Elephas maximus indicus: one gene and its partner. The protein of the gene in region 2 interacts with the protein of the main gene of each other region in a biochemical or structural test. Links are inferred from orthologs where the notes say so. Each region holds a gene or a part of one and is shown on either strand. Other genes may lie near its edges.

Region 1 (5,979 bases), on a different chromosome or scaffold from region 2:
TGGTTTCCAGATTGTGGTGAAAAACGTAGCAGCAGCTCCAGAGCCCGTGGGAGCCCAACGAGCAGACTGTAGGGAAGCACCAGGTGTCCTTGCTCCAGGTCCCTGCCTGAAATGCCCCAGGACTCCACAGGGGAAGCGCTTGCAGAGGAACACAGGAGAAAGGCAGTGGAGTGCCCCCTGTTGAGCCCTACTGAGCCCTCCCTAGACTGAGGTTTTGGGGAGGACCCGGAGGAAAAAGCGAAGCTGCTGCGGTTGGTTAGTAAGCCAGCCAGCTTGGTCTAGATGGGAGGGTACAGGCCCACAGGGGTGCAGCCCAGCCCCCTTTCAGGGCCAGCTTTGGCCCCACCAGGCCCCTCTCATCTTGCACCAGGGCGGACTTCAGTCATCTGGAGGAAGGGGCCCCGCCAGGTGGAGGCAGAGGAGGCGGGGCTGGGCGGCAGGGCAGGACAGGGCAGGGCAGGGTGGGTTTGCTGGCCCCGCAGCCAAATGTGAATCACCGCTAGGTCTGAATCTTCCTCCCTCTTTGGTGCTGGCAGCTTTGGAAAGGGGAGTATGGAGAAGGAGGTCCTCAACACCCCTCCAGCAACACTCCCCTTGACTAGTGCTCCCCACACCCCTCCCTCCACCTGGTTCCTGGGTGTGAGGTGAGCCCCCCTCCAGCCCACCCTCCACTCTATTGATAGTAATTTTCCCTGCAGCCCAAATCTGGTCCCAATATTCCCCTCCCTTTTTATAACCTACCCTATACGAAGAAGAGCTGGGCATCAGGATTGGAGGAAGATTCATTAACAACCTGTGTTATGCAGATGACACAACCTTGCTTGCTGAAAGTGAAGAGGACTCGAAGCACTTACTGATGAAGATCAAAGGCCACAGCCTTCAGTGTGGATTACACCTCAACATAAAGAAAACAAAAATCCTCACAACTGGACCAATGAGCAACATCATGATAAACAGAGAAAAACTGAAGTTGTCAAGGACTTCATTTTACTTGGATCCACAATCAACACCCATGGAAGCAGCAGTCAAGAAACCAAAAGATGCATTGCATTGGGCAAATCTGCTGCAAAGGACCTCTTCAAAGTGTTGAAGAGCAAAGATGTCACCTTGAAGACTAAGGTGCACCTGGCCCAAGCTGTGGTATTTTCAATTGCATCATATGCATGTGAAAGCTGGACAATGAATAAGGAAGACTGAAGAAGAATTGATGCCTTTGAATTGTGGTGTTGGCGAAGAATATTGAATATACCATGGACTGCCAGAAGAACGAATAAATTTGTCTTAGAAGAAGTACAACCAGAACGCCCCTTAGAGGCAAGGATGGCGAGACTGCGTCTTACATGCTTTGGACATGTTGCCAGGAGGGATGAGTCCTTGGAGAAGGACATCATGCTCGGCAGAGAACAGGGTCAGCAGAAAAGACAAAGACCCTCAACGAGGTGGATTGACTCAGTGGCTGCAACAATGAGCTCAAGCATAACAACGATTGTAAGGATGGCCCAGGACCGGGCAGTGTTTCGTTCTGTTCTGCATAGGGCTGCTGTGAGTTGGAACCAACTTGACGGCCCCTAACAACAACAGCAACATAACCTACTGTGGCTCCCCAGCACCCTCAGAAAATACAATGTCCAAGCTCTTTACCTGGCCCGCGAGGCCCTTCATGATCCAGCTCCTGTTGGCTTCCCAGCCTCACCCCCCGTCTCCCCCTACATCCCCTAAACTCCAGCCGTGCCTAGACGCTCACGTTCCCCAGGTCTGTGCTTCCTCACCTCCGAGCCTTTGCCCATGCTAGAATGCCACCTCCTTCATCCATCCTTCAAGACCCACCTTCTTGGCATCTGGACAGTCTCCAGCCCCCACGGCACTCGGGCCTGACTTCCCTTTAGCTCTCATCATACTCTTCATTTTTTTTTTTTTATTGTGGTGAAACTATACATAAGAAAACATACACCATCTCAACAATTTCCAATGGGCAATTCAGTGACACTGAGTACATTCTTCAAGTTGGGCAACTATTCCAATCTTCCTTTTCCCCAAATCATCCCAGCACCGTTGACATAAACTCACGGCCCCCTAAACCATGCTGCTTCTTAATCACGTTCATGGTTGGATTCTGCCTGGAGAGCGGCTCCATGGCAGGGACTGGGAGGGGTTCATCTTGAATCCTCAGAGGCCACCCCCGGGGCCAAGGCTTCAGGGGGTTGCTCAGTAAAACATCTGCTGTATGGATGGCAAAAGGAAGGACTGTGCCTGGCCTTGGTGGGGGAGATGTGCGTGGGGGTGCACAGAGTGGGGACCCCAGCCCCTCACAATCTGGTCCCCCTTGGGCCCCTCTCGGGCTGACACTCTCAGACAGCCTGGGCTGTCTGAGGAGCGCCAGCTGGCCCCTCACGAGGGCTGAAGCCTGAGGCCCGAGCCAGGGCTGGCGGCCTCAGGCCTGGCACCCAGCCCAACCTTTCTTTTTTTTTTTTTTTTTTTTTTTATAATCCAACCTTTCTTTAGCCCTAGTAAGGAACACAGGCAGCAGCCGCTATCTCTGCTTCCGGGGGAGGCCCGGGTGGGGCCAGGCCTCGTGGTTAATGGATCCTCCCACCTGCAGAGGCCCACAGAGCCGGCCACACCCTGGCCCCTGCCAGGAAGCGTGCAGCATCACCTACCCAAGCTCCAGTCACTGAAGGACCTGCATCCCCTCAGCCATCTTCTCTGGGTACCCCCAAGCTCAGCCTGCTGGCCCCAGGCCCCCTTCCCGCCAACTCTTGGGCCTAGCTCATCCTCAAACTATTTTCCATTGGCTTCCTGCAATCCCTGCCACAGCATAATTCTGGGGGGATGGGGTGGGATGGAGGAGGAGACTAGGGAATGGAGCTTGGACCCTGGGGGTGTGGCTAAAAAGGGGTTGAGGGGGTGTCACTCTGATTGGTCCTCTCTGCTCCAGAACTGGCTTCAAAATTCCACTGACCCCGCCTCTGGTGGCCCACAGCCATGTCCTGACCTCCAATTGGCCACGCTTCCAGGGGGCGGGACTCACCAGGGTCTGGTCCAGTTAAAAAGGTGGGAGCGGCCCGGGACCCATCTCTCCTCTCGGTGGAGTCTTCAGACAGCTGGTGCAGCGGTCCCAGGATCACCTTCTACCCTCAGCCATGGCCTGTGTGAGTGTGGGTGCCCCACCCCAAAGCCCAGGGAATGAGATGGGAGCAGTGGGCAGATCAGAAGGTCGGGTCTAGTTGTATCTGTGTGATCTTAAGCAAGTACCTTCGGTTTTCTGGGCCTCAGTGGCCATGTCTGTAAAATGGAGGTGGGTGCTATGGTCCCCAAAGGCCCTCTGGAGCTTAAGAATTTTCTGGATTTCTCTGGGGCCTGACAGCACAGTTATTTCTGCCTAGGTCTTACATTCTGCAGCTCTGTAGCTCTCTGAGAAGTGAGAGTGGAAGGGTGTGGCCAGCTGGGGGGGGGTAAGATGGCACATTGGTGACGTCCAGGCACTGTCCTCTTCCCCTCCTCCACCTCCAAGAGCCTCCTGTCCCCTCCCCCCTGCAGCTGTCTCCAGTCACCACGCCAGGACAGAGTCAGGCCTCTGCTCCAAAGAGCTCTGAAAAGTCAGAGCCAGGAGCAGAGACAGGCTGCTGGGGAGGGAGCCTGCTTGGGCTGAGGGGATGAAGGATGGTTCTGGCCCCGCTGAAAAAAAGTGGGGCTGAATTTCAAGCCACCCACTCCCTCGAGGTGGGAGGTGGGGGATGGTAAGGGAGAGAGAAGGAGTGAATCTTCCCCAGGCCCCCAGGGAAAGGGTTCAAGTTTCTGGCAGAAGGAACCACTCATACCCACTAACTCCTGCCACCCAGCCTTGGGCACCACGGGTGGCATGCTAAGTGGGAGGGCAGCTCCACCCACCCCAAGCTTCCTGGGCTGCAGATTCCGGACCTTGTTTGTGCTCCCCACTCCTTTGAAGGGCCTGGCCATGCTCCTGGGGGTCTCCCACAGGGCCTTGAAGAGGATGACGGGGAGCCCCCAGTGGCGGCCATGGCCTCTTCAGAGGGGACCCACCTACCTTCATTTACCTTCCGTTGGACCAGGTGCCAGGAGCCCTACTATCAACTGCCCATCCCAGCCTGGTTCTCGCCCTCTGTTAAATGAGGAGATGGCATAGCACCTTGCCTCCAAGGCCACTCTGAACCCAATCCCCCGCCCCCGGAGCTGAACCTTAAAAAAAAAAAAATTTTTTTAAAGCTTATAAATCCTGTTTTCTAGAAGCTCACCCAGGTTACAGATAACAGACCCTGCTGGGCGTAGGGACTTAGCCAAGGCCACACAGGTTCCCAGACTCCCTAGGCTCCCAGTTGGCCTGGTCAGAGGATGCAGGGTGGGGACGACCCCCGCCCCCCGCCTCCGCCCGGGCAACTGGGGGCAGCGGAGTCCCGCGTCCTCTAACCGACCGGGCGGGGTCTTGTCTGCGCAGGGTCTGGTCGCCAACAACCTGAATCTCAAACCCGGGGAGTGCCTCCGAGTGCGGGGCGAGGTGGCCCCTGACGCCAAGAGGTGAGGGGGCCAGGCGGGGTGGCAGGAGGTCAGGGGGCCAGGCGGGGTGGCAGGAGGTCGGGGGCCAGGCGGGGTGGCGGGCGGAGGGGCGCTGCCCAGGGTCCAGCCGGGCGTGGCTGGTCTGGGCGTGGCCGCTGCGGCTCTGCTCCTCCTCCCGGCCCGGAGGGGGTCAACGTGGCCGCTGGCCGAGGCTGCGTTTTCTGGGTGACTCACTTTCTCCGCGGGGTCTGGGCGCCCCCGCCATTGTCGCTTCCCCTCCCCCCTTCCCCCTTAAACGAAACCAGCTGCAACCAGCTGCGGCCTCGTCATCTCCCTCGGCTTGGCCCCTTCCCCCGCCCTGGGTGGGCAGGGCTGTAGCTGGAGAGGGAGGGCAATGAGAGGTGTCACCCCCAGGGCCCTCCCTCTGTGGTCCTTCCTTCCTGCGTTTGCGTTTGGTCATTCATTCGCTCAATCTTTCCTTCCTCACCCCTTCCTTCACTCATTCATTTAGCCAGCTGGCCTGTTTTCTCAGCAGCGGAGTGACCTTGGACCAGTCAGCCAACCTCATCCAGTCTCAGTTTGTTCTTCAGTGAGACAAGGGGAGGTTGTCGGCTGAAAGGAATGCGATGCTGGCCATCTCAGTGACCAGGGTGATGATGTCTGGCCAGATACCCCAGTGCAGAAACTCTTAATTCTTACCAAACCCTTAGGTTATCTCCACTCCAACAAAGATATTATTTATTCATTCGCCCCACAATTATTGAGTGCCTTTTGTGTGTCATGTAAAGTACTGAGCACCAGAGATACAGAGACATACAAGGCAGACAGGACACTTGCTCCCTCCTGCCCCCAAATGTCGCCATCTGGAGGGACTCTCTGCCCTTGAGCAAAGGCACTGGGACACAGACTAGTGTCCATGAGAGTCTTGCGGCTGTCAGCAGAGCAAGACCTTTAGAGACCCTTCTTGGCTGCCCCCATTCTACAGATAAGGAAACAGACCCAGAGAGGGGCAGACTTGCTCCAGGTCACACAGCAAGTAGGTAGCAATGAGTTCTCCCAGGTAGCTGCACTCATGGTAGCACTGGGTGGAACAATCCTACCACTTTTCCCCTAGCTTCGTGCTGAACCTGGGCAAAGACAGCAACAACCTGTGTCTACACTTCAACCCTCGCTTCGATGCCCACGGGGACGTCAATGTTATCGTGTGTAACAGCAAGGATGGTGGGGCCTGGGGTACCGAGCAGCGAGAGTCAGTCTTCCCCTTCCAGCCTGGCAGCGTCGTGGAGGTGGGCTGGGGACCGGGGCCCGGGGGCTGGGCACTGGGTAGGCTGGGGTGGAGCTGGGTTAGTGGCTAGAGGCCCAGGCCTCGCCTACCATCTCCTCCCTCACTGTGTGATCTCCGGTGAGTGTCATCCTCAGCAGCCCCACCCGCAAAGCTGGGCTGTTGTAAGGGCTGCATGGAGGAAA
Region 2 (5,979 bases):
CGAGGTATGTACAGGCTTCCTTGTGGTTACTAATCTGGAGTGCACAGTTTCACCCGTTTTCTACCACAGGTGAAACTGCGCCCTCCAGATTAGTAAGTAACCACAATTAAGCCCGTGCGCACCTTGCTTATTGGTTAATCTGCCCCTGGCCGCTCTGAAGATCCATGTACAAGTATACATGCCTTTTAACAGGTGTGATCACAGTGGCTATTCAAGTTTTGGTTTTGATTGTTACTGTAACATTAGGCCATGAACTTAGCCTTCATCCTTGTGAAGTTTAATGGCTGCTTCATAAACATCAAACTGCTTTGTTGTTGTGTACTATCGTGTCATTTCTGACTCATAGCGACCCCATGCGACAGAGCAGAGCTGTCCCATAGGGTTTTCTAGGCTGCAATCTTTACAAAAGCTGGCCATCAGGTCTTTGTCCCACGAAGCCACTGGGTGGCTTTGAACCACCGACTTTTCATTTAGCAGCCGAGTGCTTAACCGTTTACACCACCAGGGCCCCTTCAGATGTCAAATTAGCATTCCATAATTGGTGCCACTGTCCCTATTGCTGAATATTTAAATCATTTCCAATTTTTCAGAATCACAAACACGATGTTCCTCTGGGGGAAACTGTTTCACGGGGATAAATCTCCAGGCGCGGGGTTTCTGGCCAGAGGGGAAGGACGTGGCTGAGCGCTTGAACCCCGTGCCTAGGAGCCTTTGTGAGGCCAGGGCGGAAGGAGTGAGCCAGAGCCATCAAAGCCTATCCGCAGGGCTTCGGCGTCACCGAAGACGTCAGCGGATGTTCAATTAGCAGGAGGAAAGCCTGCGTGTCACTGATGTCTGCTGTGCCCTCCAAGTGGACTCGTAGGTGGGCTGCGGCCTTGGCTCTGGAGGACCCGGAAGCAGAGGCCCTACCTTGCCCGAATGCAGCATTGCTCAGAACCTGGGTGGCATTCTCGAAGCCCAGGGCGCGGCAGACCACGTGGGCATCGTCCAGGTCCCAGCCGTCATCACACACGGTCCCCCACTGGCCTCTGTAGAAGACCTCCACGCGGCCCTCATTAGCCGAGTCCCCGTTCACCAGCCTCATGGTGCCGTCCTCCAGGCCTGCAGGCTCGTGGGGGCAGAGGGGAGCAAAGATCAGACAGGATGATGGGAGGGCACCTGGCCCCACCCTAGGCCCATCTGCTGCCCACTGCTCTCGGGCCGTGTGCTTTCATGGTGGCAGCTCTGTCCACCTAGGGCTGAACTGCTGACCAGTGAGCTGGGGGTCTGGTTTTGCCACTTTGAAGTCCCCTGCCCGTCCTCGGGGGAGGTCACCCACTGGGGAGGAGCAGGAGATACTCACAGACCCCCCAACACAGAGGTAAGCTAGCCTTGTGTTTGGGGTCCCCCCTTTGTGCCCAGCACTTGGAGAAGAGGTGGCCAGGTGGCAGGAAGAGGGGCAGGGAAGGGTGCCCAGGCTGATCCTCTCTGTGGTGTCTGTAGTTGGGCCTGGAGACAGTCACACAGGGAGACTGGGAGCCCCTTCCTCTTCCTGGAGGCCCCACACCAGCATGATGGCCCACAAGAAGGGTGCCGCAGGGGTGCTGGGAGAGTATGGGGAGCCCAGGCCTCCTGCCCAGAACCCACAAGCCCCCATCACCAGGGACAACTGGGGTTTTGAGCAGGAGGGGAGACCCAGGCCACCAGCAGAATCTTTGCTGGCATTTTCTGAAGGGCGGGAGTGTAGCCTCAGATGGAGGAAGAGCTGCTTAACTGATGTTTTCTCCCGTCTTCCCAGGGGTTCAGCTCACCGTGGGTCCCTGCGACGAGCAGCCATATCCAGAGGAGCTCAGGGAGTGCCATGGCAGTACCTGGAGCCTCGATCCTATGGCAGAGGAAGACACGGTGGTGGGGGGGGGCGGTCCTCAGAGCAGGGCCATGCCCCCTGCAGCCCTGACCTGCTGAGGCCCAGGTGCCAGGCTAGGAAGGAGCCAAGAGGCCTGCGGGTCCTGCTCCTCCAGGGCCCTCTGCAGGCAGTGAGCATGAGAGACGCAGGGAAGGTGGGGACCCAGCAGAGCCCTCACCCCAACTGAGGGCTGGTCTTCAGGCTGAGTAAGACTCAGCCAGGTGAAGAGGGGGGGCTGGAGGGTCCAGGCAGCGGGTATCTCCCAATGCTGGGCCTGTGTGTGGCTGCCATGTGGTGTTGGATGAGGAGGGCTGAGGAGGGGGTGCGGCTCTGCAGGGCCCAGATGGTGAGGGCCCGGTGAGTCTCATTAGAAACCAGGGCTGTGTACAAAGGTGACTGACCCTCGCAGGCATGCCCACAGTGACTGAGGGGACAAAGGTTCCCTGGCTGCAGCGTGCAGAGCAGGGGGCCTGTCGGGAGGCACCCCAGAAGTCCAGGCTTGAAACACTGGCAGCGAGGAGTGTGGGCTGGTGGTGTTGGGTGGGGGTGATGGAGAGGAGGGGTCGCAGTGTGGGGGGGGAGGGGGCCGAATTAGGAGCCAGGACAGGGGCACAGGGCAGGGGCGGGGATCGCAAGGCACGCACAGGCTTAATTGTGCTTACTGACTAATCTGTAGTGAACAGCTTCACCTGGTTTATACCATGCCAAAGATTTGGTGAAACTCATGTGAAATTGTTCACTATAGATTAGTCTGTGAGCACAATTAAGCCCGTGCACGCCTCGCTTACTGCAAACCAGCGCCTACTGCGCTTGCTGGCTAACCCACCCCTGGTTTGGGGAGTATGGTGAGCAGGCTCGGCATGGACATGGTGCTGCTGACCCCCTGAGGTCAGCTGGCCTACTGTCTCATGAAGCCAAGGCTTGGGGATGTGGAACCACCAGGCCACTCAGCCAGCGGGGGCAAGGTTGGGGAGGACCAGGCTTTTGGTCTCCACGTTCTTCTCCACTCTTGATCGTTCCATCATTGGCAGCAGCCTGTCGCCCCCGGCTACATCCTAACCTGCTTCCCCACCCCACATCCTGTGCATGTGAACGGGCCGGACAGGTCACCGTCCCTCTGGCCCAGCAAGAATCATGGATGCCCCCTAGCACTGCTCTCTGCTGTCCAGCAAGCCCAGGACCAGGCCAAGGACCAGGCCACTGTGGCACTGCTGAGCACGGAGACAAGATCAGGGCCTGGTGACCTTGGAGGCAACATGTGGCATGGATGCCTGCATTTATAAGACCCCCAGGGGGCACAGGAAGCTTTGAGGGGTGACCTGTGCCAGCCCTGCTCAAAGCACAAGCTCACAGAATCCTGACCGTGACCAAGAAACGTCTTATAGCTAACAAGCTTCTAAGCAAAGCCACTGAAACAGGCTAATGAGTAAGGCAAACCTCGATTCACTGCAGTCTTCTCAGAAGACGGCTGAAGGGCCAGGTGACTGGGCACACCAGAACAACTGGTCACCCGCCCTGCTCCTAGGATAGCCTGGACAGGAGCTCAGGGCCATGAGGAAATGGCCAATCAAGCCCTAGGTGAATGCGTGGTGGGAAGTCACCTGCCTGCAAACCAGGCAAAGGTGCGCTTCCTGCGGGCGGGTGGGTCAGGGTAGCACGCAGACTGTGAGAGGCTACCCTGCCACTGCCCCCTTGGCTGGTGCCTCGTGCAGTGAACAGTCTGCCCAACTGTATGGGGTGGCCCTGCGGATCTTCTGGGAGCAGCACCCTGCCCCTAGCCCCGGGTCTGTGTACACAGTATGCTTGGCCCCCACTGTGTAGAGAGAAGGGTGCCCACCTGGGAGCAAGGAGAGACAGGTGCTTACCTGCCCAGGTAACTCCTGTGGCTGTCCTGGAGCCTTGTGCCTTCCCGCTGCAGGAGCCTGCTGTGGGCCTGTCCTCGGGCTCAAAAACCCTCCTGTGTGGAGCGTGGTCAGGAAATGCTTCAGGAAACTGTTCAGTTTCAATTTCTAGGAATCACATGACCTGTGTTTCTCCAGGGGTTGGCTGCCACGCAGAGTCCCTGGGGCCCCTTCCTTTTCTCAGCTCCAGTGTGGGTGCTGGGAATGGCAGCAGTCCAAGGATGGATTCTGGCTGAATTGGTAACCTGCAGCAACTCCCAGAGCCAGACAGGGATGACTATTTCGGAATTTAGACAACCTTCCAAGCTGGACCAATGTGCCAGGCACTGTGCTGGGGGAGGGAAGGAGGGGGCAGCAGCAGATGTGGTGGGGGGGCTGGGGGAGACTTTAGGGACAGACAGAGCGGGGTCCAGGCAGGCGGAATTTAAAGTCCCAAGGCCGTATCCCAGAACCAGCACCAATATCGGCTCCCCTGGGCTCTCAAAGGTTTTCCAACCTCCTGAGACCCCCAAAAGGAAGTGCTTAAGGAGGGGGAGGGGAGGGGCGGTGTGAGATGATAGCTTCAGGGAGACGGGGAGGGAGAGGGCTGGCTCGGTTCTGATAAGAAGACTGTTGAGGCCTCAAGAAAGCAGGGCCCAAAGGTGGTACCATTGGAGGCTAATCTGGCAGGGAAGCCATTCCCAAGGCGCTGCTGGAGAAAGGCTGGGTGCTGTTGGAGACACTTTTTTTTTTTTTGCTTCTGCTCCGTCTCACCGAACGCGGGAGTGCTGACTATAATAGCTAATATTTGACCGGTAACCAGTTGACAAGGAGTCAACTCCTCCTCATGGCGACCACATGTGCGTCAGAGTAGACCTGTGCTCCATCAGTGGCTGATGTTTTGGGAGCAGATGGCCGGGTGTGGGGGAACTCGAACCCCTAATCTTTCAGTTAACAGCTGAATGCGTTAACTGTTTGCACAACCCAAAACCAAAACCCGTTGCCATCAAGTCGATTCCGACTCACAGGGACCCTATGGGACAGAGTAGAACTGCCCCCATACGGTTTCCAAGGAGCACCTGGTGCATTTGTACTGCCGACCTTTTGGTTAGCAGCCATAGCTCTTAACCACTGCACCATCGGGGTTTCCTTGCAGAACCCAGGGACTCCAGTATCTATTGAGCCAGGCTCCACTGCAAACCTTTGACCGGGATGAGTTCACTTAATCCTTCCAGCCAGTCTGGGAAGCAGCTGCTCTTCTTATCCCTGCAATAGATAAGGAAGTGGAGGCACAGAGAGGTTACATACTCTGCCCCAGGTTACACAGCTGGAAGGTGAAGAAGTGCTGGGATTCAAACACACATTTTTTCTTTATTGAGACATAATTTACGTAACAATAAAATGCATGGAGTTTAAGTGTACATCCATTCAGCTTTGACAAAGCCTACAGTTGACGACCATGATCACCACTGTGATAAAGAACATTTCCATTGTCCTCAAAAGTTCTCTTCTAAAATCCTTTGCGGTCAATCCCCTTCGCCAGCCCCCGCCCCTGGCGACCACTGCTCTGCTTACTGCCACTATGTCGTCCTCGTTGTTGATTCCGACTCATTACGACCCCATGTGACAAAGCAGAACTGCACTCCAGGGTTTCCTAAACTGTAATTTTGATGGGAGAATATTCCCAGGTCTTTTCTCCCGCGGAGCCCCTGGGTGGGTTCCAAACACCGATGTCACAGTTAGCAGCCAAGCGCTTAATCGTTGTGCCACCAGGGCTCCAGAATTTCATATAAATGGAACCATACAGGATGTAATCTTTTGTAGCAGAATGCTTTTGAGATTCCTCCGTGGTGCTGTGAATATCAGTAATGTGTTCATTTTTTTTGCGAAGTAGTAGTCCGTCACGTGGGTAGATCGCAGTTTGTTTAGGCATTTGTTCATTGATGGATATTTGGGTCTTTTCTATTTTTTTACTATCATGAACAAAGTTGTTATGAACAATTGGATGCAAGCCTTTGTGTGAACATGTTTTATATCTTTCCTGTAAATACCTAAGAGTCAGGTTACTGGATCATGTCAAGATAGCCAGATGCTGGGTGTGGCTCAGCTGAAACCCGTCCCTCCTGTCCACTGTACTCCAAGCACTGGGTGCGGCTCAAGCCAGTCAAAGCCAGTTTACTAGCCTACATGACAGAGGAAAAAAATGCAATTTGT

Evidence for each region.
Region 1: the proteins of LGALS3BP (region 2) and LGALS1 form a complex in vitro, tested with the Homo sapiens proteins (2 studies listed by BioGRID). The link is inferred for Elephas maximus indicus from reciprocal best matches to the Homo sapiens genes LGALS3BP and LGALS1.

Annotation. Positions count from the first base shown.
Region 1 is NC_064822.1:181,567,699-181,573,677, forward strand, and holds the start of LGALS1 (galectin-1), read left to right. Parts: upstream 1-2,965; 5' UTR 2,966-3,140; coding exon 3,141-3,149; intron 3,150-4,453; coding exon 4,454-4,533; intron 4,534-5,626; coding exon 5,627-5,798; intron 5,799-5,979. UniProt on the Homo sapiens protein: Lectin that binds beta-galactoside and a wide array of complex carbohydrates. Plays a role in regulating apoptosis, cell proliferation and cell differentiation. Inhibits CD45 protein phosphatase activity and therefore the dephosphorylation of Lyn kinase.
Region 2 is NC_064837.1:68,868,496-68,874,474, forward strand, and holds the start of LGALS3BP (galectin-3-binding protein), read right to left. Parts: upstream 3,878-5,979; 5' UTR 3,751-3,877; intron 1,865-3,750; 5' UTR 1,843-1,864; coding exon 1,791-1,842; intron 1,102-1,790; coding exon 910-1,101; intron 1-909.